Linked DNA regions of Coturnix japonica. The protein of the gene in region 2 interacts with the protein of the main gene of each other region in a biochemical or structural test. Links are inferred from orthologs where the notes say so. Each region holds a gene or a part of one and is shown on either strand. Other genes may lie near its edges. The genes, in order: PLD1, RALA and EXOC2.

What was found.
Region 1: the proteins of RALA (region 2) and PLD1 form a complex in vitro, tested with the Homo sapiens proteins (2 studies listed by BioGRID). The link is inferred for Coturnix japonica from reciprocal best matches to the Homo sapiens genes RALA and PLD1.
Region 3: the proteins of RALA (region 2) and EXOC2 are reported together in a solved structure, tested with the Homo sapiens proteins (2 studies listed by BioGRID, with this or other methods). The link is inferred for Coturnix japonica from reciprocal best matches to the Homo sapiens genes RALA and EXOC2.

The regions. Positions count from the first base shown.
Region 1 is NC_029524.1:17,244,282-17,253,091, reverse strand, and holds the start of PLD1 (phospholipase D1), read right to left. Parts: upstream 4,930-8,810; 5' UTR 4,708-4,929; intron 1-4,707. UniProt on the Homo sapiens protein: Function as phospholipase selective for phosphatidylcholine. Implicated as a critical step in numerous cellular pathways, including signal transduction, membrane trafficking, and the regulation of mitosis.
Region 2 is NC_029517.1:76,746,136-76,754,166, forward strand, and holds part of RALA (ras-related protein Ral-A), read right to left. Parts: intron 7,157-8,031; coding exon 6,948-7,156; intron 3,029-6,947; coding exon 2,854-3,028; intron 1-2,853. UniProt on the Homo sapiens protein: Multifunctional GTPase involved in a variety of cellular processes including gene expression, cell migration, cell proliferation, oncogenic transformation and membrane trafficking.
Region 3 is NC_029517.1:62,002,788-62,010,818, forward strand, and holds part of EXOC2 (exocyst complex component 2), read left to right. Parts: intron 1-2,578; coding exon 2,579-2,724; intron 2,725-2,819; coding exon 2,820-2,901; intron 2,902-3,341; coding exon 3,342-3,444; intron 3,445-5,958; coding exon 5,959-6,077; intron 6,078-8,031. UniProt on the Homo sapiens protein: Component of the exocyst complex involved in the docking of exocytic vesicles with fusion sites on the plasma membrane.

The DNA.
Region 1 (8,810 bases), on a different chromosome or scaffold from region 2:
CCCCGTCTGCAGGAGGGTTTGGGTCCCAGCAGAGGAATGCAAACACTCTGAGCTGCACGTAACAGACACCCAGAGCCAGGCACAGCGAGGGCAGCTGCTCTGGGCTCAGTGTAATGGCATTTCTGTGCCCGCTGCCATTGATGTATGACTGAACACAAAGGGATCGATCTCCAATAGCTCTGCTCGTTCCCGGATCCCAGTGAGCAGCTTTTCTTTGCTCACAGTACTGTTGGAAATCACACACGGAAGTATCCAAAGGCGCTTTGCTGGGCCATTGCCTGCAAGAAAGCGTGCTGCAGGACAGCTTAGTTCTATGTGGGGATCACATTAGAAGTGCTTGCCCAGCTTTTGGGTCAGCATCTGAGGAACTAAACTCAGAAAGAGGCAAACTCAGCAGAAAACGGCCACGTAGAAAGAAGGAACTTGCAGGAAGGGAATAGCAGGAAGTGCTCTCCTGTTTCTTGTTTAAATACAACTGAACACTTGCAAATTTATTTGGTGTAGCTCATTTACAGACAGCATCAATACCGACAGCTTCCTTAGAAGAAAGCAGACACCTCAGACTTCTTTTTCACCCTTCCCTCTATCCATCACGATGGTGCAGGCACTGGGAGATGCTGCTGAGCCCCAGTGGAGCTCATTCCTCCCCTGTCCCACCCCAGCACAGGATGTCCCCATCACCTTATGGCCCTTCCTAGAAGCCAGCAGAGCCCCAAGGTTATGACCTGCAAGCTGAGCCCTCTGAGCTCAATGCGAGATGGAAACCTGCCCACTATCAGCCCCAGGTTAGTCACGTTCTTCCCCTTGTTTTCCATCCCAGCCTCCTGGTACAGTGATGCTCTCTAAGAGGTTTCTGCAGACAGTTATATTCTTTCTGCACATTACAAAAAAAGAAAGAAATAGAAAGAAAGAAAAGAGAGGCTGCTTGGCAGAAAGAAAAACATTCGGTGTTTTGAGGGAAAAAAAGCACCCTGCCAGGGCTCAGACTGCACTCCTATCCCTGGTGCTTTCTGCCAGCAAACAAAATGGCTCATTTGCCACAATTGCTGCCAAAATGTCTTGGGATCGGTCACACCACAGACTCTTGAAGGCACTTGTGACTCACTGCTACTCCACACTGGGAGGGCTCACAGCTGGGTGGGACCCCTGCAAAAAATATCAGTTTGCTGGGAACTTCTGTCATGGAAAAACACATTTTACAGCATCTCACTGGGGCTACAGGAATAGACGCTTAGAGAAAGCGGAACGAGAGACCAAGATATTTCCCTCTGAAAGGACACAGTATGTGCTGCCTGCTCTCTGAGTCGCTCCCATCTTCTTTGGCTGCAATGGAGACCTGGGCATATCTGCATGTTTCATGCTGGCCAACCGCACTGTGTAACTCTGCTTTACTCAGATAGAAAGAGACGATGCACAGCCAACGCTCACAACATGGGTTGTGCTGGGGGTGGTGGTGGGAAGAGAAAGAAACATTTCAGTTAAAAAAGGTGATCCTTTTTGGGAGACGTGTTGGTGAAGCGGCTCTGTGCCATATCCCTCCTATGTGTCCATGACCCATGTGCCCCGAGGCACGGGGAGCGCAGAAAAGCAAGTTCCTGCACAACGAGATAAGCAGAAACAACAACTGGATGTGAATCATCCACTTGCACGGACTTGGACAGAGCGTGTCATGGTGCTGATCTGTGGGATATTGTCTGCCTCATAGTGCCCTCTGTGTCCCCGAGCTGTGCTGGAGCGCTCCATCCCCGCTGGGAAATGGCTGTGAACTGTGCACTTTCTTTTCTGCTAAATGCCTGTTCCAGCACTGCATTGCCTCCTTACCGCACCCTTTCTCTGTACACAGCCTGCTCCTTTGGGCTGTGGACCATTTCATCCGTTAGCTAAACCTCATCTGCCAAAAAGAAGAGATGAAGGACAGGACACTGTTCTTGCACAAAGATAACAAATGCAAACTGGCTGCACTGCTGTCAAAGGGAAGCATTGTTCATTTGCATATGGTCAGCATCGTGCCCCCAGAGCACAGAGGGTGCTGAAACATGACCATTTGGAGACCAGAGTGCTGTGAATGCCACATATGCCCAACATGACTCCATGCAGCCATAGGACGCTCATCAGGGAGATGCTACCACATCCATGGGGCTGCAATCAGCAACATCCCCATCTAGTCTCACTCTCCATCATGTTTTCAGGCACATGAGCCTGATAACCAACTCAAGACCATACAATCATTAAAGTTGGAAAAGACTTCTAAGATCCTCAAGCCCAACCCCAAGCCATTCCCCCATGCCCACTGACGATGCCTCTAAGAGCCACATTGCCATGGGTCAAGAACATCCCCAGGGATGGTGACTTCACCACTTCCCCAGGCACAGCCATCTTATCTTGGCCTTACAAACCTGCATTTTGAGTCCTCGCTCTCACTGTGAGAGCATCAGGCACTAACTCCACCTGTAAATATATGTCTGCCTCCTTCTTGCTCCCCCAGGCATGAGAGCAGGGAAGGGACACGTGTCTGCTTACCCCCAGACACCAGCTGCCTCCCACCGCTCTGGGCTTCCTATGCCATGTGGGTGGGAGAGCAGCACAGTGCTTGTTTGGGAGAGAAACACTGGGAACAGAGCTATTCTCCTCCACCCAACTCCTTCTCCCCCCCATCTTCCACTGCCCTACCAAATACCTGTTAAAATAATCACATACAGATCTGTACAGGAACACCTGACCACAGACTGAAACAACAAACCACATCAGCCTTCTTTTTGGTGAAAAGTGGAGTAAGCAAGGTTTGGGGAAGGGAAAAAGGATGGAAATGTGATTTCCATCAGATAGCCCCAAAGAGCACAGGAAACAACACAGGCCATCCCATGCACAGCAGAGCAAGGCGTGAGGCCATACTCTGCTCCTGGTGCTCCTGTATCAGGCACGCCATCAAACTGACACCCACAGAAACTCAAACTGAGGGCTCAAGTGAGGATTTCCCTCATGGAGGACAAACCCAAGAGCCTGTAGGAACACCCATGGCTGATACCTGCTTTACGAAGCTATTTCTCAGGAATAAAATGGTGGCAGCACCAACAGCGATGGTGTTCCCCTGATACTTCAGTCCCTGAAGATTTGCTAACTTGCTTTAAACCCATTTCCATGGAGGGAATTTGTGTACCAAGCCAAGTTCAGCTCGTAACTAAGCAAGGCACAGCCACACTTCCTTCATGCATAAAGACGTTTCCCGAATCACTGTTGGAGAACAGCCCTGCTGTAAAACACGGGATCCTTCCTCTGCTGCAGCCACACCTGCGGTCTAAAGAGCACCTCACCAATTACTGGGGATAACAGTGTCAAGCTGACACAAGCCCTTACAATCGCTAGTAAGAAAAGCAGTGCAACTTTCTCGTCGAGGCGTGTGATTTCAGGATGCTTCTTGAAAGAGTGAAGTCACCAGCCAGGCTCACCAGCCTCCTGCTTTTGTTTTCTTTCTTTCTTTCTTTCTAACTTTAATTGTGTCTTCAGCAGCTGAAGGAAACTGCAACTCTGATCCCAGGAAACTCCTGGATCTGCAAGAGCTCATGGGACACCGCCTGCCCCCATCATAGCAACAGTTCTGAGCACAGAAACCTTGAAAATCACTCAACTGGGTCTTTTCCAGCAAGACCACAGCCTGAAAACCCATCTCCAGGAATCCTCAAAAAGGAGGATGTTACATATCCGAACAAAATTAAGTGTGCAGACAGGTGTTTCAGTGAGAAACCCAAGGAGAAAAGTTCAACCTAAACAGAAGGATCATCTGCAGCACTGAAAGACAGGGAAGGGCAGCCAGGGGGTTTCCAAACTCTGGGTCAGGGCTGAGGCTGCCACGAGCATCCCGAGTGCACAGGTACAGTCCCCAGAGACCTGTGAACCATCAGCATGAGCTCATGCTGCCTGGTGCCATGGACTAATTTTTGAGCAGTTAAAGACTGTTGAAACGGAGTTCCCACTCTCCAAACAGCGAAAGGAAGCAGCTAAGAAACGGAACGCCATACCAAAACAGTGCTTGTTGCAGTGCCGTGGTGCCATCCCTCCTCCGCGGAATGTCACATTTAACGCGGTTTTACCCGCTGTCGGGGATGGGACCGTAAGGAAAAGCGATCTGCCCAAAACATCCACCCAACGCTTGAGGCACCGTGCGTTCACCTCGAGGCAGGGCGCGGACACTAACGCACAGCCCAGGGCACGCTGCAGGGTCACTGCTGGAGTAACCAACAGCGCAGGGCAACTCTCAGGGGCTCCGGATATTAAGCAGCAACCTCTGAAAGCAAAGCAGCATCACGCCTAATAAAGACAAAACGCAAACAGTGGAGAAGACTACCGGGGTGCCAAGGGGGCCGCTGCGGGGAAGCCGTCGGGTCTCGGCCCTCGGGTGGAGCTGGGCAGCACACGAGGTGCTGGGGTGTATGCGGGACATGGCCCCGAGCTCCTGACCCCAGCCCGGCACGGAACTACGGAGCAGCAGGAGCAGCAGGAGCGAGGCATCCCGAGCGCACACCGCGGTGCGGACGGCACCTCTCGGGAGTGAAGTTTGCTCCCAGCACAGCGCGGGGAGGGCCCGCAAATGAACGCCCCGAGCTCAACCCTCAACCCTTCCCCTCCCCGCACCGACAGGCAAAGCAAAGCAAAGCAAAGCAAAGCAAAGCAAAGCAAAGCGAGCCGCCCTCCGCGCCGCTCCGCACCCACCTCTTGCCCCCGGGGCAGCGACCGCTCCATGGCGCCGTGAGCGCTCGTCCCGTCCCAAGCTGCGCTGTGCTGCGCTGTGCTGTCCCGGAGCGGTGGGGCCGGGCCGCACCTCGCCCCGCAACACCCCTACACCGGCCCCAATCCCGGACCGGCCGCTACCAGCCTGTGAGCAGGGCGGGCTGCGGGAAACCCCTCCCCGAGAGCAACGGGCGTGGGACAGCGCAGGAAGGGAAGGAGGGAAGGAGGGGCGGGGGGAGGAGGAGGAGGAGGAGGTTGTGGCTCGTCGCGGGGCAGGGTGTTCCGCGGTCGAAGGAAAAATAATAAGCGAGGAATGCTCGTTTAGTAGGGGGAGAAAGTTGGCTTTTTCAAGGCGGAAATTTGCTGCACGCTGGGGGTAACACCGAGCGCAGCTCCACCGGGAGGACGCGCCTTCCTCTCTTGTGCCCTCTCGGTTGCTGCAGTAGGAATAAGCCGGCTGGACACCCAGCAGGAACCTCTGGGTAGGGGAGCAAACGAGAAACCCAGAGCAAATTAACAGCGAGTTCAACACACAGGCAATGGTGTTTTTAACGTAATAATTACGGTCACTTACTGTCTGTATCTGAGCAGCATGCAAATGCTGTATTTTTCATGCTGCTCCCCATACTTACTCTCAAAGAGCTTTTGAATAGGCAAAGAAGCAGATTTTTGGGGAAGGGACAGATAGAAAAGCCCTGAACTGACAAATGGAAAAGCAAAGCCCTCCACATGCTGAGCGGCTCTGGCAGCCGTGTTGGGGTGCTGGGAGCATTCACAAACCTCTCTGCAGTGCCACAGCCTCCCCTGCTGCAGCCACACAGGGCCATCATGGTGACTTATCCCAGGGAGTTCAGCGTTCCCACACTGGTGCCAATGTTAAGATGTCAGTATGGATGTTATGATAGTTTTCCTCTTTAAGGGATTTATTTCATTTCTTAAACAGCCCCGTGTCAGCTCAGCCTGTTCAGAGTGGGCTTCCCCTGTCTTGGCTGACTGGTGGCTCACTGAGAGCAGTGTGGGGGATGCCCTTCATGCCTGAAATCAGACTGGCCAATCTGAGCTGGGTTCCAAGCAGCATTGCAACACTTCTGTTGGTGCTGAGCTCCGACACTGCTCTGCTCAGCATCACAGGGAGATGTGAATGAAGGTGGTATCAGGCAAGGGGACAGCATGGGCATCTGTAGCACTCAGCATCAGGAAAGCACTGGAGACGAGCAGAGGGAACTCTGAAGCAAAGAACAAGGGAAATGGAAGCAATAGAAAGTCACCCTGTGGTAGCGGCATCCCCATCTCATTTTAAAGCGTAGGCAAAGACTGGATGTGCTACCTCACACTGCTCATGACAACAGGGGGTGGGCAGTGTTGGAGGGCAGGTGATGGAGCACCCCTTAGGGCACTGCCTGCAGGGGATGTCCTAACTCTGCCACCTGCTCAGGCTCCCCTGCTGACCCCACAGCTGCTTGGACCATGCCTGCTACCACCCCCAGTTGCAGAGAGGGGACAGCACACACCATGCCCACATCTGGCTAGCTGAGTTCTGGGAGATATTAATGAATTCATGAACAGTAACTCGGATAACACATACTTAGGTTAGGCTTACTTAGAAACCTCTTGTTGAGCACTATGGCAACAATGTACCACATTTCCTCCACCCTGAGCACTATTCCCATCACCTTCCCTGACCCAGAGGCAATGCACAAAGCAGATGAGTGGTGCATGCCAAGTCAAATACCTCAAGCCCTAAAGAAACACAGTGATACTGGGTGACCGCAGAGCAGGCAGGGCTGGGGATTCCTTTATTCTCTCCTCCCACTGACTTTTGGCCTCCAGAACTGCCTGTGCAGCTCTCCAATGATGCTTCCCACTGTCACAAGGGTGCCACGTGTGCTTATCCAAAGTGAGTGCACAGTGTGCACAGCCACACTGCTGGGCTCTGGAAAACCAGGGTGGGAATGTTAGGGACAATGTCAGCGGCATTTTTAATATATATATACTTTGGTCTCACCCCTGGGCACTGCAGTGTCCAAGCATGGGAGAGGGGAGGAACAGAAGCCAGCAGTGCTCCCAGAGCTGTGCCAAGCGCTGCTCACAGCCACAGGCAAACAGCACGTGGAGGGAGAAAGCTGCCATTGGCTCCTGCAGGCCTCACAAACAGCATTCTTGCAGCAGGGAGAGCAGCTTCTTCCGCACTGTTTCCCTCCTCCCATATCCTCCCAGGGAAGAGGCTGCCACCCCCCGGGAGGAAAAGGCAGGGGAGGAAGTCGGGCACTGCGCCGTGCCACGCTGCCTCCTGGGAGCTGTAGTCGTGTCTCATGGCCAAGTCCTGCCCTGTGGCACCCCCCGTGGCACTGCAGCTCCCACAGCCCCATCCCGGCCAGGGGACAGCAGACCCCCAGGTTGGGTTGCTGTGAGATGACTCTGTGGCTGCTGAGCACGATTGCGCTTGGCCGGGATATTTCAGTTTGCTTTCACACCTTCCCCTTCTCGCAAAATTCCCATGGAAACAAAAACAAAGCTCTTGCTGTTTGGGTGTATTTTTTTTTTCCTCTCAAGGGAGAAGAGTGAATGAAAGAGGAAAAAAAACCTCGCCAACTTGCTCTGGGGCTGTGTGGGTACCGGGATGCCCTCATGTGGCCGCAGGGTCAGTCCCAGGCACTGGAAGTGGAGCTGCTGTGCTGTGCAGCATTGCTCTGAGCTTGGAGCAATGCCAGGCATGTTGGTGAGCCAACAGCATCTGGGGGAAGGAGAGTGCAAACCGGCTCATATGGTGCTAAGCGGAGATGCGCACTGGCTTGCTATTTAAAGCTGAGCAGGAGCAGGAATGGCAGGTTTGAGTGAGCTTGGCTAGTCTATCCGAAAACAATTTTCATAGTCCTCTCCAGCCCAAGATCTCAGGCTGCCCCTCATCTCCCTGTGGGGCCAAACCATCCTTCCTCCCCTATCAGTACCCCCAAACTGTCCCCTGCCCAAAGGCAAGCAAGATGCAGCCCGAGGCCAGGGTTTGGGGATGCCTTGGTTTTCCCATTTCTACATCAACAGAATTGTTTCGAATGTATTCTGAGATGTAGTTCATTAAATGGGTGAATTACACGTTTTATCGTTCATCCATAGCAGGTTGTCAAGGAGGTACGTTATTATTGGCAGCTAGAAGGGAACTAACAAATATTCTTAGAGTCTGTAACGAGCACTTGAGTAAGAGTCAAGTAATGAGTGTTTCTTCAGTGACAAATCCACGCAAGATATGCTCCACCTGTTTTGTTAACAGACAAAGGCTTATATAAGCTGGGTGTTACATAAAACCCTAAAATAGGGAGCCAGAGAACTCCCCCACCTTTGGATGAAGGCACGACCACAGAACACGTGTACCTGGGCTGACATTAACCTGGCCCTCCTGCTGCCATCACTTAGCCCCATAAGCACTGGGCTGGCCAAAGTCCCCACATTTTTCCAGAACCTGCCATCAAAATAGCATTCTCCAGACAGCTCCATCATCTCAGTGCTGGCCCAGGAATATATATCTGTGCTTGTGTTCTCTCGTGTGCCATAAACACCCATCCAATCACAGGGCACCATCCAGACATATCACCTGCCTCGGTAAAATCAGCCTTTCTCCACACACACCTTGAATCCTGCCTTAAAAAGCACAATTCCAAAACTCAGACAATACAGTCAGCCCACACCAATGGTTACTTGCAGACATCAGAAAAGAAGATTTGCATTTCAGCTCACAGCCCAGGCGCAGATTCCCCTCCCAGCACAGACCTGAGAGGCGGCTGTGTGAGAACTGGGGATCCTTATTTGTGCTGGGACAGCAGGGGACAAAGAGCTCCACACACAGGATTACTGGTGGGGCAGAGCAAAACGTGTCAGGAAGAACTCTCTTGACTACAAGGGTGCCATTCATTGCAGCAATCAATTCTTGCAGAAACACGCCAAGGCCGCGATGTGACTCTGCCTGACTTGGCACAGGCCATCTGCCCAACCCTTGCTCTGAGTTAATGGGAGCTGCACAGAAGCTGCGGCCATTCTCCTCCTGCAGCATCCTCTCTGGATTCATCCTACAGGCTTCAAGGTGTTGAATGACA
Region 2 (8,031 bases):
CTACAATTAGTTCTAGAAGCACATTAATGAGGCAGTAGCACATACTGAACATTTCAGTCTCTATGCCCCATGATGCAAGTCTAAACAAAAAGTGCAGCAAAAATAAATTAGCATTTCCTTTAAAAACAGGTTGTCACCCATACAAATACATAAGCTATTTTTAGATTGGAAATCTCAAAGTATGCATAAACTTCATTATTATCAAGTAGCTTAGTAGGAAACAGAAGTTGGAGACAAATCAGTGTGTCACTTGAGAAAAGGCTGTAAGCTCAGGTCTATGACAGAGATCCTTTAAATTACTTCATTCATTAATACAATCTTGCCTTAAAGAGGGCTACTGAAAATAACTTTCATCTTTGTTATTTTATCACAGTGGATCATTTGAACAACTGTAAAACTTCTGCCAGGAAGACTTCCCTCTTTATCTGTCAGGGGGGCTTGATCCATTTCTATACAACAGACAACGTAAGGACCAAAACACTCTTCTACAGAATACAGCAGGCATTTTTATCTGCATTGACACTAATCTCATGTTGACTGCAGCAGAAGCATAAACTTTCATTACAGAGTACATGAGGAAAATAAATGCAACTATGTGTTTCCATCAAAAAATACAACTGCCGTTAGGATGCTAGATGTTGAAGTTACTTGCTTTTGCTTAAACCTCTATTAATGGTATGCTGCAACTGTCACCTTGCTTAAGCCCTAGCAATGTACCACAGTACCTGGGATACTTAACCTAGTGTGAGAAAATGCTCATTTGCTTACTGTTACCAAATTGAGTGAAAGCCCAAACTCACCCTTCTGGAATTTAGGGAAGCAACTCTTTTTATAGAATACAAACTCAAGTTCATATAGTAAACCCTGTAACGTCAGATGCTTTAAGAAAACTAGTAACTAATACCTGGTATTTACAACGGCCAACAAAGCCTCCTTGAGAGCAGCCCAGCTGAAAAGGACTTAAGGGTTCTGGTAGATAAAAGAAACTAAACAGGAGTCAGCAGCTTGTGCTTGCATCCCAGAAGGCCAATGGTATCCTGGGCTGCATCAAAAGAGGAGTGGCCAGCAGGGTGAGGGTGCCTTTCTACTCTGCCCTCATGAGACCCCCCCCATCTTGAGTACCACATTCAGGCTCAGGGCCCCCAGCTCAAGGAAGATGTGGACACTTTGAAACAGGTCCAGAAGATCATGGAAACAATCAAAGGGCTGGAGCATCTCTCTGAGGAAGAAAGGTTAAAGAAGTTGGGCTTATTCAGTCTAGAGAAGAGAAGGATCAGGACAGACCTCACTGTGGCCTTTCAATACTTAAAGGGAACTTATAAACAGGAGGGCAAACAACTTTTTATATGGACAGCAACAGGACAAGGAGGAACTGTTTTAAACTAAAAGAGGGAAGATGAGATATCAGGGAGAATTTATTTATTTATTTATTTATTTTACTCTGAGGGTAACAAAGTACTGGAACAGGTTGCCCAGAGAAGTTGCAGATATCCAATCCCTGGATGGTGTTCAAAGCCAGGTTGGACAGGCAACCTCACCTAGTGCCCGATTTGGTGGCTGGCAAGCCTGTCTGTAGGAAGGAGATGGGAACTACATGATCTTTGAAGTCCCTTTCAACCCAAGCCGTTCTATGCCTCTAATTTATGGATCATCAAATCTGAACTCTATGTAATACATATCTACCTGGATCCATAATGCCACCTGTTCCAAAAAGAAGCCTTGAGCCCTTTAGTAGCCTATCACATGAATGCAAAAGTTACTGGTTATATATATCAAAAATATTTACTTTTTCCCCCCTGCTGCTAAAGGATGATGAAACAGATCCAGATGACCTTAGAACTTCTGCAAGACTGAAATAGGTGGATGTTAACTGCAATTACGCACCAAAACTAAAAGCAACTGAATTGCTCTGCATTTAATTGACTTAATGTTCCCTGCAGAACAACGTAATGTTTTTACTTTAGCACTGAACAATCCACTTCTTTGCAACAACAACTGACAAATGACTACAGTAAAGTTTAAGTTACTGCAAAACAGTACTTTTATTACTGCTTTTACACTTCAACTACTCATTTGTAAGCATTTACATTAGAAAATCTCTGGGTGATCATGTCTACCGAGAGGTATGAAAGAAAAAAATCTGCGCTTTAATCTGAGCTTCTTACTTTCCCCAGATATCTACTACTTTTTCAGTCTATGAAGCTGAGAGTTATTCCAAATGCTATGTCTCAAGAAGTCCTGTCTTCTCAGTAAGTGAAATACTTACAACTAATCAGTCATTTATCATCTTAGAAACAAATATTCTTTGTGCATTCTTATGACCTTCTGATCCAGCCTTTATCCCAGAAAATTCATGAGGCACTTCTGGCCCATTTAAAACTTAAAAGAGTAAATCCATTCTTCATTGAAACAACACACAGGCATGTGGTTAGACAAGGGTAGATAGGATTCCAATCCCTCCCTTAGTTTTCTAAGCCATTTTATTCCTCAAGCAGCATTCTCACTGTCTAGAAGCAGTTTTATCTTCCAGTTACAGAAAACACAAGAAGGCAAGGCCAACACAATTGCCTCAATAACTTGTTAACAATAAAAGGTCTTGTCTAATGACTCAACTCATCACAGTTTAGGATGTGATAACTCTCTATGCCTAATGCATTCTCACTGTTTTATATTAAGCAACTTAGTCATGTTCTCATCACAAGCAATAGGAGAAAAGCATTTGTTTTGAGATCCACCCCCCCCAAAAAAAACAGACTAAATAACTTAAACATGTAAACTATAGACCCATAGAAGTATAAAGTAAAAACTGACAGAGATTCTTTGTATTAGGTGAGTTATGAGGCAAGTTATTACCTTGTCAACATTAGCTCTTGTTTTTGCAGAAGTTTCCACATAGTTAACATTCCACTGATCAGCTCTGTTTTTTGCTTCTTCTATAGAAACTTGCCTTTTATCTTCCAAATCTGATTTGTTACCTACTAGCAAAAAAGGAACGTTCTCATCTTCTTTTACTCTTAAGATCTGCTCCCTAGAGAAAAACAGAAAAGCAAAAAATAAATTACTTTATAAAATACTATTCTTAGAACACAAAAATAAGAATGCGGACTTAAACTCTTCCATTCTTTTTCTGAAACTTAAATAACAGCAAAATTTTAAACCAAGACAGATTATTAGTCTTCCAGGAAGGAAGGAAGATGAATCAGTAACAAATAAACAAAGTTGAACAAGTGAGAACTTAAACTAATGACATTCTCCTTTTACTAAAGATATTACTTGACAGTACTTCTCACTGCCTTTATGCTGCTATTAGTAATGGCAATTCTTAATATACCCAGACTACATTCTTACATTTGACTATTTTTCCTAACAAAATGCATGTGCCACTTTTAAAGCTGATGAAATCAATTAGGTAGTAAACTAATATAGCTTAACAAGAGAAAAATCTTGCCCTTTCAGGAATCTTTCTGAAGTCACTTACATTCAGCCCCTACAGAGATCTTGATTCAGTTATAAGCCAGTTTAAGGATAACAAGCCTGCACATAAGTCAGATTTTTAAGGAAAGATCCTGTCTGAACCACTACGATGAAGAGTTTAAATTTATAAATAAAACCGAGTACTACAGATGCTTTGGTACATCAATCTGAAGAACACTGCTCCTGGAAGACAAGCACTGTCTCCTTCATCTCAGAAAGGAGTACAAAGTCAGCAGTGGAATTTAGCCCTCCATTGTGAAACAGTTTCTGAAAGTTCAAGAAAAAGCACAAAGCACCACATTCCCTTTTCTGGCTGAGGTGAAGCTTACTGGCGGATTTTACATAGAACAGAAAGAAACTGGAAAGAGTTAACAGATCCTTCTGTTAAATCCTTCCATTTGGTACACATCAGAATCCTCTTGGTGGTAAAAGATGTCTTGCTTTTTGTAGCATTTAGTTTTGTTGAGTTAGCTTTTCATTTCTTTAACCAGCAAATGCACATTGGAGGCAGCTTGTAACACCGCATTCAACTAGCCCTCCAGGACTGCCATAAGTAGCATAAGCCTGTAAATCAGCCTAGGCTTTTCTCTTTCTCTCTTAAAGGATACATATACTTATATACTGAGAAAAAATAAATTAAAAAACGAACAAACAAAACCATAGACCAGAAGGGGACAAGCTTGCTGTCTCCCCTCTCCATAACTCCTTCTCCACCCTTAGAGAAGATGCATTCTATGCTTTGTACTAATTAACCTGAGCTATGGTAACATTTGAGGTCCCGGATGACTGGAGGAAGGGTCACATCACTCCCATATACAAGAAGGGGAGCAGGGAGGACCCAGGGAACTACAGGCTGGTGAGCCTCACCTCTGTGCCCGGGAAGATCATGGAACAGATCCTCCTGGACGATATGCTCAATCACACGAGGAACAAGCGAGTGATCCGAGACAGCCAGCACAGCTTCACCAAGGGAAGGTCATGATTAACCAATCTTGTGGCCTTCTATGATGGAGTGACAGCATTGGTTGATGAAGGGAAGGGGAAGACGACCGATGTTATTTACCTGGACTTGAGCAAGGCCTTTGACGTGGTACCCCACCACATCCTCATCCCCAAATTGGAGAGATGTGGATTTGATGGGAGGACCACTTGATGGATATAAGAAATTGGTTGAAAGGCTGCAGACAAAGGGTGGTGATCAATGGCTCTGTGTCCAGGTGGAGGCCAGTAATGAGCGATGTCCCCCAGGGATCTGACTTACGACCGATGCTCTTTAACATCTCTATCAATGACATCTACGATGGAATGGAGTGCGCTCACAGCAAGTTTGCTGATGACACCAAGCTGAGCGATGTGGTGGACATGGAGGAAGGAAGGGATGCCATTCAGAGGGACCTTGACAGGCTTGAAAGGTGGGCCTGAGTGAACCTAATGAGGTTGAACCCCAGGCACCTGTACAGACTGGGAGGTGTAGTCCTTGAGAGCAGCTTGGCAGAGAAGGACCTGGGGGTCCTGATGGACAAAAGACTCAACATGAGCCAGCAGTGCGCTCTTACAGCTTGGAAAGCAAATGGTATCCTGGGCTCCATCAGGAGAGGGGTGGCCAGTAGGAATAGGGAGGTGAATGTCCCTTTCTACTCTGCTCGTGAGGCCCCATCTGGAATACTGTGTCCAGGTGTGGAGCCCTCAGTACAAGAAAGGCACAGAGATTTTGGAAAGGGTCCAGAGGAGGGCCAGGAGGATGGGCAGGGGGTTGGAGCACCTCCCCTATAAGGACTGGCTGAGAGAGCTGGGCTTGTTCAGCCTGGAGAAAAGAAGGCTGCGGGGACACCTCATTGCAGCCTTTCAGTACCTGAAGAGTACCTATAATTAGGAAGGGTGTAAACTCTTTGAAAGGGCTGATAATAGTAGGACAAGGCAAAATGGATTTAAGTTAAAGAGGGAAGATTTAGGTTGGATGTTAGGGGGAAGTTCTTTACTACGAGAGTCGTGAGGTCCTGGAACAGGCTGCCCAGGGATGTTGTGGATGCCCCATCCCTGGAGGTGTTCAAGGCCAGGTTGGATGGGGTTCTGGGCAACCTGATCTAGTAAACATGGACGTTTGGTGGCCCTGCCAGGCAGGGGGGTTGGAGCTTCATGATCCTTGACGCCCCTTCTAACCCAGGGATTAGAGATTCTGTGATCTCTAAGAATGCTTATTTTAATAATAGAAAAGGAAATGATCTGCATCTTACCTCTCTATTTTGCTTAACTTTGAACTGCTAAAATTTTGGGGGAGCGGTGTCTATTTTTACTCTATATATATCACAGCAATAAGATATTTTCCTTCATAGATAGCGGAATGAGTGTTTTAAATAGGCTCTCAAGCAAAATGAAACACTCAATACAATGCTGTCTAAATCTCCCACCATTACAAGGGTTTTAATACCTCGTATGCTTGAAAAACATCCTAAAAATAATAAAACAACTAGCCTGCTAAATCCATACCTAGTTGATGAAGGAGAGGCTGTGGATGTGATCTACAAAGATTTTATTAAAGGCTCTGACCCTCCCTGCAGAAGCTGGCAGCCCATGGCTTGGACAAGTGCACTCTTTACTGCCTAAAGAAAACTGGCTGGAGAGCCAGGCCCAAAGACTAGTGGTGAATGGAGCTAAATCCAACTGGCGATCAGTCATGAGTGATGTTCCAGAGCAGTCAGTACTGGAGCCAGCCTTATTTAATATCTTTATTGAACATCTAGACAAAGGGATTGAATACATCCTCAGTAAGTATGCACATGACATCAAGTTTGGAAGAAGTGCCAATCTTCCAGAGAGCAGGAAGCCCCCACAGATGTGGTTGGATGAGCTGAGGCCAACTGTACGACATCCAAAAGACCAAGTGCCAAGTCTAGCATTTCAGTTACAGTAATCTTATGCATTGCTCCAGACTTGGAGCCGACTGGCTGGCAAATCACATGGGCCAACAGGATTTGAGCGTGCTAGTTGACAGTTGACTGAACACGAACCAGCAGTGTGCTTAGACGGCCAAGAAGCCAGTGGCATCCTGAGTTGTAACAAATATTGTAGTGAGCAGGATCAGGGAGGTGTCTGTCCCTCTGTCCTCAGCACTGAGGAGGCTGCCTACTCAGAGATGTGATTCTTTGCACTGTAGTGTAAGCATCAAGCAACAATGATCTAGAAAGGGCAGCAGCCTTCTGAATGTTACTATGCATCTGCTCTGTTGCAATAACCTCTTCGGTATTCAGCAACAGAGCAGCAAAGATATCTGTAGTGGTACAAAGATAATAGAAGCGTGGTTAGGCATCTATTCAAAGCAACGTGACTACAGTCATCTATTCTAAACTACCTAATGATATTGCAAAAAAAAAAATATATATATATATATATATATATTTATATATTTATATATATATATATAAATAAATTACAAGAACCTCACCATAATTACAATAACTTGCCTTGTAGCCTACCTGAAATCTGCAGTAGCTGCAAATGACTCCAGCTCTGTGATAGAGAAAACACAAAGAAAGCCTTCTCCACTTCGGAAGTAGTTATCTCTGATTGCTGCGTAATCTTCTTGCCCTGCTGTGTCCAATATATCAATTTGGACTTCTTCCCCATCCAGAACCACCTTCTTCCTGTAGCTGTCAGCTTTGGTGGGCTCATAATCTTCTACAAACTAGAAACAAAAAATTTATCACTTGAAAACCAGGTCTATAGAGGGCAAATGCATTATTTTCACATAAGGATATAACAAACATTTGTTATGGTTACAGTAATGAATAAATAAGCCTATGTATTTAGGTTACGTGAAATACTCAAGTTATTCAACATAGCTAAAGCAGGCTCTCCATCAGCTCGAACAATTTACAGGATTTTGCTTTTTTCAGCCATTACAAGGAAATTTTAGAAGCAACTGCAAAACGTTAATGGCCACGCACTTAATGTCTACTTTCAGTTAAGCACAGCACCTGGCTGCATTTCATTATGCTATCAGGCAGTTCTGACTGAGTATATTTAGTATCAATTTTGTAAGGCACACTGAAGGCATAACTTCCATTTCTTAGTCAAAAAGAATTACTTTCACTGACAAAAAAAAAAGTAAGAAAACAAGATTTTTTTATTTTTTTTTCTTTCTCCAACAGCAACATAAAAAAAAAAGAAAAGGAAAAAAGTCACATCTCAGGCATCAAGCAACTTACTTAAGTGAAGAAGCTTTGAGTTTTAGTACTTATCAGGTCTAGCAACCAATGTGAAAATATATTGTAAGGGAGCAAATTATAAAACTACTAATAGCCTAAAAATTTGAAGAGGGGGGGGGGAAGGCATATTCATACATTTACAGGTTTCTCTAACAAAGAAAACTCAGAATTTCAAAGTCACATAACAGTTTGGGTTGGATGGGACTTTAAACTCCGCCCATGCTGAGCACTCAGAGACGCCCCCCCCAGTAAACTAGGTTGCCCATGGTCCCATTCAACCCTGCCTTGAACACTTCCAGGGATGAGGTATCCACACTCTGGGCAGCCTGCATCAGTGCAAAAAATATTTACG
Region 3 (8,031 bases), about 15 Mb from region 2:
GCAGATAATACAGATTGTCTTATACAGATTGGATCTTTAGAGGAACTTCTGCCAGCCACTTCAGAGTGTTATTAAGTTTGGCTCTGCTGCGAAAAAAAATTGGCTGCTTTTCCTTCTGATACTTTGCAAGTCATGATGGGTGGAAGGCAGGGGGGTAGGAATACAAGGATTTAAAAAGAGTAAATAATATTATGCAAAGTAGTTTAGGATCAAAGCTTTGTTTCTTGTCTGACCATTCAAAAGTGTCCTTAGTTACTGTTCTGCAAAGAACAGGCTTTCAAGTGCTGCTGTAATCCTTGAATTACAGGGTCTGCTTTCAAAAATGACTTAAAATCTTCAGTTGGATTTTACACTTCATAGGTTGTAGGTGCATATCTTAAATGACAATTGTTGTTGATAGCTTGATTCAGACTTCTAAGACAAAGGATGCTTTCTACAGCTACCAAGCATGCAAAGAGAATGTGCCAAGTTATTGGATTGACATGTCAGAAGTTAGTAGAAGTAGAATCTGCTCCCGTAGGTAGAATTGCAGCTGCTTGCAGTTTCTGCTAGATTGCTAGATATTATTGTTAAATAACTTACAGAATGTATATTCACAAAAACATGCTATAGGCTGCACTTCATTTCACAAAGAATTGCCTTATAGGAGGTCAGTCAAGTTCCCTTAAGTTTTGTTTTTGACAGGTTCTATAAAAGACAACTGTTGCTTAACAAGAGCTTTTTTTATCTTTTTTTTTTTTTTTTTTTTTCCTGTAATTTGAACAAAGTATATTGTCTATTTGGAAAGTATAATCAGTCATCCTTTATCCATGAGCTTCCTAGTTTACTTTTAGATTATTCATTACTAGTGAATAGATAAATTGTTAATGTAGAAGGGATTTGGGAAGAGCAGAGAAGGGAAGAAATTTTACAATGTTTTTCTAAGCCCTAGAAGAGAAACCTATTCTGAAGAAAGCATTGAATGTGATCAAGGCATTGGATTTAACACACTTCATTTTCTAAGTAAAACAGGAAAAAGAAGTAAAATCATTTCCTTAAATTGAGTATTTTACATCATTAATTTTGTACAAATGAATGTGCAGTTTTGAACTGGAGATGGAAATCACTGTGCAGTTGTTGCAGTTGCCAATTGACTTTGAAAAAGTAATTAGACATTTGATAAGGCACTGAATTAAAGAAATAGTGTTTTGTGAATAAAACGTAGTGAGTACAGTACGTTTCTTCTTGACCGTTAATAGAATGCATGAGAAACACATGAATTCAAACAAACCGAATGTATTTACTCAAAGGGCTCAAAAAAATTAACATTTGTTAAAGCATCAAGAGAAAATAAAATCAAACTTCACCAGTGATCTGTATTTAGATATCCAGCTAGTTGTTTTCATTGTGTATCTCTCCATAGTGGGTTAAAGTATTTTATATTAAATAGTATGTAGTAGGAATAGCTGTCGTGACAAAACATTTTTTTACATCAGGGCTTTAGAATTTCAACCAAGTTTAAACATTATTTAGATATAACAATTATTTTACAAAGACTACTTTTAACATGAACAGGCCACCCACAGTGTTGACTAGAGAAAATGGCATGCAAGCCACCCAGTGAGACTGATGTAATTTTTTTCATCTTTGCTTAAATTATAGTCACCAGACCAGATAATGTAGAAACTTTTACATGCAACGATCAAAAAGGCTAAAACATTTCCAGTTCTTTTTTTCTTTTATTGGTTAATTAAAAATAAGTCACGAGTTGAAAAATGCAAATAATCGCGTGCGAATATAAATGAAATACTGTTAATCTCTCTGGAAGTATGGAAAAACTCTATTACAAAATAGAACACGTTCCATCATAAAAGGTTCTAAGGATTTCTGTGTGGAAGAATATCCATGAATAATATCACAATGTAATTGCATGTAATTATTGTCCTAGCCTTTATCCTGTATGTGATGAAACTAAACAGGGTTTAAATGCACGGTGAAGACAACAATATTCATTCTGTTACAATTACCAACTAGTTAATTTTTCAGTCACACCATTGTCTGTGATTTAATCACCAGTACTTCTAAAAGTGTTTCTTTTAAATTGAACATTACTAATTGTATTTAAGAATTAATTTGAGAACACTGGATGCTTGCAAAATTCGCGGTCCTAACTCTGGAAGCTATAGCATTAATTAACATAATGAAATTATACTTTTCTAAGAGTGAAAACTTTCTGTGACTTTTTCCATATCCTGAGATGCATAATTTAGTTGTAAAAATGTAGATCTGGAGCCAAAGCAAGCTATAAAATATCTGCAACAAAGTTAAGCATTTGAAATAGGAAAGAGTGATTGTTTTTAATTGCACAGGGGTCTTACCACATTAAAATGCTAAGTGGTTCCCTCTGAAATAGTATTTCATCAGTTGTAAAATGTAAAAACTGTTGCACAGAAGAAACAGTAAAAACTTTGCAATAGTTATTCATTTTCTCTAAAAAAGCTTAGATGATGATGCCATTCATTAAAATGAGGAAAATCTGCTTATGATTTAAACCGTTTACTTGCTCTAATTTCACTTAACTTCATCCTTTTTAAAACAGGAGCCAGTAACACAGCAGATACTTTATTCCAAGAAGTGCTGGGCCGCAAGGATAAAGCTGATTCAACAAGAAATGCACTCAATGTTCTTCAGCGTTTTAAATTTCTTTTCAACCTTCCACTGAATATAGAAAGAAATATCCAGAAGGTATAAACCTTTAAAAATACTTTAACCTTTGATGAAATGACTGTTACCTTTTAATAAATATAAACGTTTATTTGTTTTTTATTGTTGTTTTTAAGGGTGATTATGATGTGGTTATTAATGACTACGAAAAGGCCAAGTCGCTCTTTGGAAAGACAGAGGTTCAAGTATTCAAAAAATGTAAGATATGTATTGTATTACTTCTGTTTATTCTCAGCATATAAGCTAAAAAGCACATAGTAGTTAAAAGAGACATATGATTTTAATCCTTAAAAGTTATGTGTATATATAGGAAAAGTTAAACAATATTTCTAGCAGATTTTCTATGCAAGGTATATTCACAGTCAAATTTACTTATTAAGACTGGACATTTGGTGAGAGAAAAAAGGGTTACAGTGACTGAAAATGGGACTGTGGATAATTCCAAAGTACTGTTGGAAAGATTTCAAAGTATGATATTTTTTCATAGAACTGTTGTATATGAAAATGTCAGGTACATATTTAATTTTTTTCCCATAATAAATCCAAAAGTGTCTGATGTCCTAGAAAAATAATGTAATTTTCAGTTCATGCTACTACTGAAGGCACGGGTGAGATTTATTTCCTCTCCTCACTCCTAGATTATGCTGAAGTTGAAACCAGAATAGAAGCTTTAAGAGAACTTCTGTTGGATAAACTCCTTGAAACTCCATCAACACTGCATGATCAGAAACGTTATATAAGGTAGTCATTCAACTTTTGTCTTCTTTGGATTTATGATATTAGATATTTATTGTTTCCTAAATAGGGTAGTTACTATTTTTTTATGATAGTTTGAATACTGCTTTTAAAGCTGAAAGTAGATTGTGTTGTGATTTTTTGAATATATAATGATTTTGGATTGATGTTTGATTGTTTATGGAGTGATCGAGATTGTAATTTTTAAAAATCATAAAGGTATGTTCATTTCTTCTTCTAAATCATCTCATTGTAAGCTATGTATGAAATGATCCTTTGTAAGATGCAGATCTCAAAATAGACTGCATATTAACTTGTGCTCCATTTCAGCGTGGTGTTAAAAATGCATCATTTTGAGTCAGATAATAGAAAGTTTTTAATCCAGAATTGAGTTTAAATTTGTTTTTGACTCTTTTACTATTCATTCTAAATAATGAATGTCCTTTACATTTCATGAACATTTACCATTTTTCTACTTTTCATTAAAATTCCTATATTTGCTCTCATTCTGTAAGGTTATGTCCAAGCCAATGGTAGGATTACTAACATGAGTTGCTCGGACCTTATCCTAACAGTAGACCTTAGCCTTCTTTACAATCCTTGGGAACAGAATTTAGAATGCTCTGAAACATTTGACGACGTTACTAGCAAGCTTTTGAGCCCTGAGTGTTGGTAGGACTCCCAGTGTGGCTTGATATTCTCAGTGTTTTTTTTCCACTTATCTTAAAAGTTGAAGACCGAATGCAATATGCAGGTAGCATTCTTAGAAATCTGACACCTGTGTGAGGTCTTTAATGTTTTTTTGTGTTCACCCAGCCCAGTTTCACAGGCAGGGAATGCTGGAGTCTTCTGCCCTTTTACTTTGTTAGTTTATGAGGACAGTGACCAGTGTGCATTTAGTCCTTCTCATTCTTCTAGGTGCCGTGTAAATATTGCATATTTGTTAGAGTTACATTTTAAGATGAGGAGTGTTAAACATTTTGTGTGTCTTGAAAAAGCTACTGTTTCTTTCTTTCTATTTTAGTCTTGAAAAACCTTAAAAATAACTTTTTTGTTTTTATACTTTTAAGGTAATGTTTAACATATCGCTGAACAAGCAAGAAGATGCATTATTTCCAGTGCTAGTGATATATGCGTATTTATTTATTTATTTATTTATTTATTAAATATTGTGTCTAAACAATGACTAAAGTCCCCCTAAATGTTAAGGAAAGACATGAGCTCATAGTTTATAAATACCACCCTGTCAAAATGGTTGGTTGTGTAATGTTCTCATCTATCCCACCAATTGTCCTTTGACAGTTCATTTTGTTCATGAAAGTACTGCAGACAAGGAAGACGAATTTTTGCAATGCATTCGTAATTAACCTTAGGTGTTATTATAGTAACATCACTTCTGTGAAGGAGTTAAAACGCTCACTGCACTGCTTAAGAGAAGTTAGTGTATTTCATCTTGAGCATCTTGCATTTTTGAATTTGTCCTGTGTTTTTAATGCAGAATATAATGGAGATGGTGGTGGTATGGCAATCCCACCAATACTCTGTAATATTTGTTGCCATATGACAGAGGGCAACAGAGAGGCAGTGGACACAAAAGCATGAAACAAAGGTGTGCCATTAAATTCCTCCATGTGAGGAAAAAATGGCACCCACTGACATTCATTGGTGTTCCTCAGCTTTTCTGGGGAGCAAATAGTAGATGTGAGTACAGTGAGGCAGTGGGTGATGCATTTCAGCAGTGGTGACAGTGAGTTGCTTCCACTGGGACAGATATTTGAGAGCACAGCATGAAGGCACATGTTCATTACTGGTGAAAATACAGAAGTAATGGTGGTGACTGTGTTGAAAAATAGTGTTTTGTAGCTGAGAATTTGCTCTTCGTAGCAGTTGTAGTTTCCATGGAAATAAACAGGAGAGGCATTACTTTTGGAGCAACCTGTGTTTGTGAGTGTATATATATATACATATAAATAAGATGCAGTCCCACAGTGTGCGCACAACCTAATGGAAAATAAAAAACAACAACCAGGGGCTTAGTTTATATTTGCCTATGCATGTCCATGGTTGGATTAATGAGCCACCAAAAATTAGTTCCTTCTGTACTTTCCTGTTCCAATTGATACGTGCAAAGTGGGGAGCAAAGTACCATATTTTATATGCTTGAGATGTCATCAGAGGTTTCAAGTGAAACATGAAATACTGATCTGCAACTTTGACAGATAAAAATCTTGGTTACCAGAGAACACTTCTAGAGGCACAACAGAAAATACGTACCTAATCTGATTTTCAGTGTATGTGCTTTTGTATATTATTATAAGGGTTTTTTAGTAGAATTTTGCTTCACTAAATTAGGAAGTGAGAATGCAAAGTTTGCATTTGCATTGGGTACAAGTTCTTGAATTTTTAAAATTATACATCTCTGTGTATATGTGTGTATAAATACATATGAAGATATTTCTGTTTTAATGAGGCCTTTAATGTGTCAAGTCAGAGCTGTGATTTTTGGACTGGATTTTGCAGATATCTTTCTGATCTTCATGCGCCTGGGGACCCTGCTTGGCAGTGCATCGGTGCTCAGCATCAGTGGATTCTACAGCTCATGCACAACTGTAAGGAGAGCTATGTTAAAGAGCAAAAAGGCAAGGATATGTTTTTGTTACTTATATGTATTTGACACTTAGGAATTTGGCATTGCCTTTTCTTTGACAAGTTTTAGTGTGTGAATGATGCTTTTGGTTGTTGTTGTTCTCTGCTTAATTTTGATAGCTTTTCACAAAGCTAAATATTGAACTATATATTTTTTTCTTTATTATAAAAGGAAAGTATCTGTTAGAATTTTTTTTATTTTTTTATTTTTTAACTTAGAACTTGTAAGCTTCTTAAATGGGAAAAGCATTAAATTTCAGTCGTATATTTGAGGTTTACAGTCCTCCAGAAATAGTCCTCCATCCACTATCTAGAAATAGTACTAGAAAGTCACGTTAAATCCACCATTTATATTCTTCTTCGTACAGTATACTAGTAGTGTATTGTTATGAAGGACATCAAAGTACCATGTGATAAAGTCTAATTTCTTGACATGCAGTAAATGATAACACAGGGTTCTCTTACTCTTTTTTGCCAGTGCAGTTTCAAAACTGATTCTTTTTGTTCAAACACAGACCTGTGAGATTATCTTAAGTATTCAGTTTGTCTATTTTACATTAAGAGCTATATGAATATTTAGCTGTATTCTGTCTAGTTCTGCCAGTGTTGTTCCTTGAAGAAATGCACCCTCATAGATGCTTCAAAGGTGTGGCAGCAATTGAGCTACCAGTCATAATCCATCACATCTTTGTATTTTCAAAAGGGAATTGGCAGGAAACTACAGACCTGGTGTTTCTAGGAGTTAAATCTATAACCTGGATTAGAAATTGAAAATACTGTGTTGTTTCTCAAGTAGTCTTAACAAGTTTACTGATTTTCCTAAAATGAGTAGTAATTCCCGTGTTTAGTTTTGTTGCTGTTTATCCCAAGCCAACTAAGATGTTCTCTTCTGAGAAGCACAGTAATTTTTCTTAGTCAGAGCTGTGGCAGATAAGTGCTGTGAAATTAATTGCTGCAAGATTCTCGCATTTTGTTCTTCAGCAGAGATTACAACTTCAGGTATAGGGTTCGCAGTGTGCTTAATGTGACAGTGATGTCAGTAAGTTGTAGCTTGAAGTATACATGGACTTTTTTTTTTGCTACAACACGTTATTGAGTGCTATGGGACCAGCTGGAATGCGAGGCTGATTTCTTGTACTCATAGTCAAAATCCAGAACATTTCCAAAACCTCACCATCTCTCATCCTTCCCAAAAACCTGAGAGACCCGACCCTGCAGTATATATCCGTGAAGGGCAAAATTCACTAGTGAAAATGGCCAATATTAATGATTCTAAACTATCTTTTTCTCCTTTCAGTTGCAAAACATTATATACCAATCCCTTAGCTTCTTATCTAAGAGAAAAAATAGGGGCACAAAGATGTTAAATACTTGTGACTTCTTTGTTGTAGTAGTCTATATAATATTGATGTGCATGGTCCAGTAATTAATCAAAAATGGACCTAAATTCCACGGCTTGTCTTGAAAATCTTAACCTTTTTGGTGTTTTTCTTGCAACAATTCTGCTTACCTCAGCCTTAATATCAAAGGAACTTATTATGTTAGCAGCTTTGTTTGGCTCACAGATGGAGAAATTTGCATAACTTGTCTGCCCAGTAAATGCATGTATGAATAGTTAATATTTGCATGAAAAAAAAAATGCTAATATAGTATGACTTTTATTTTAAAAAGCTAGTATCATTTAAATAGTTTTCTTTCATCCTTTTCTATGGTCCTTAGTTTTTGCGCACATTATATTGATCCTGATTCATAGTATTCCCCATTCAATATCAGCTTGAGCAAAGGAAAGTTGCTAAACTCAGTTTCTTCTTTCCACGGATCTTTAATTTTAACATACACCAGAGGGGAGAAGGCAAAGAGGAAACTTGGAAGAGTTGGTATTAACTGCCAAGCAGAACAGTGCTGACTGTGATCTGAGACATGGAATTTATTTTCATCTACTTTCAC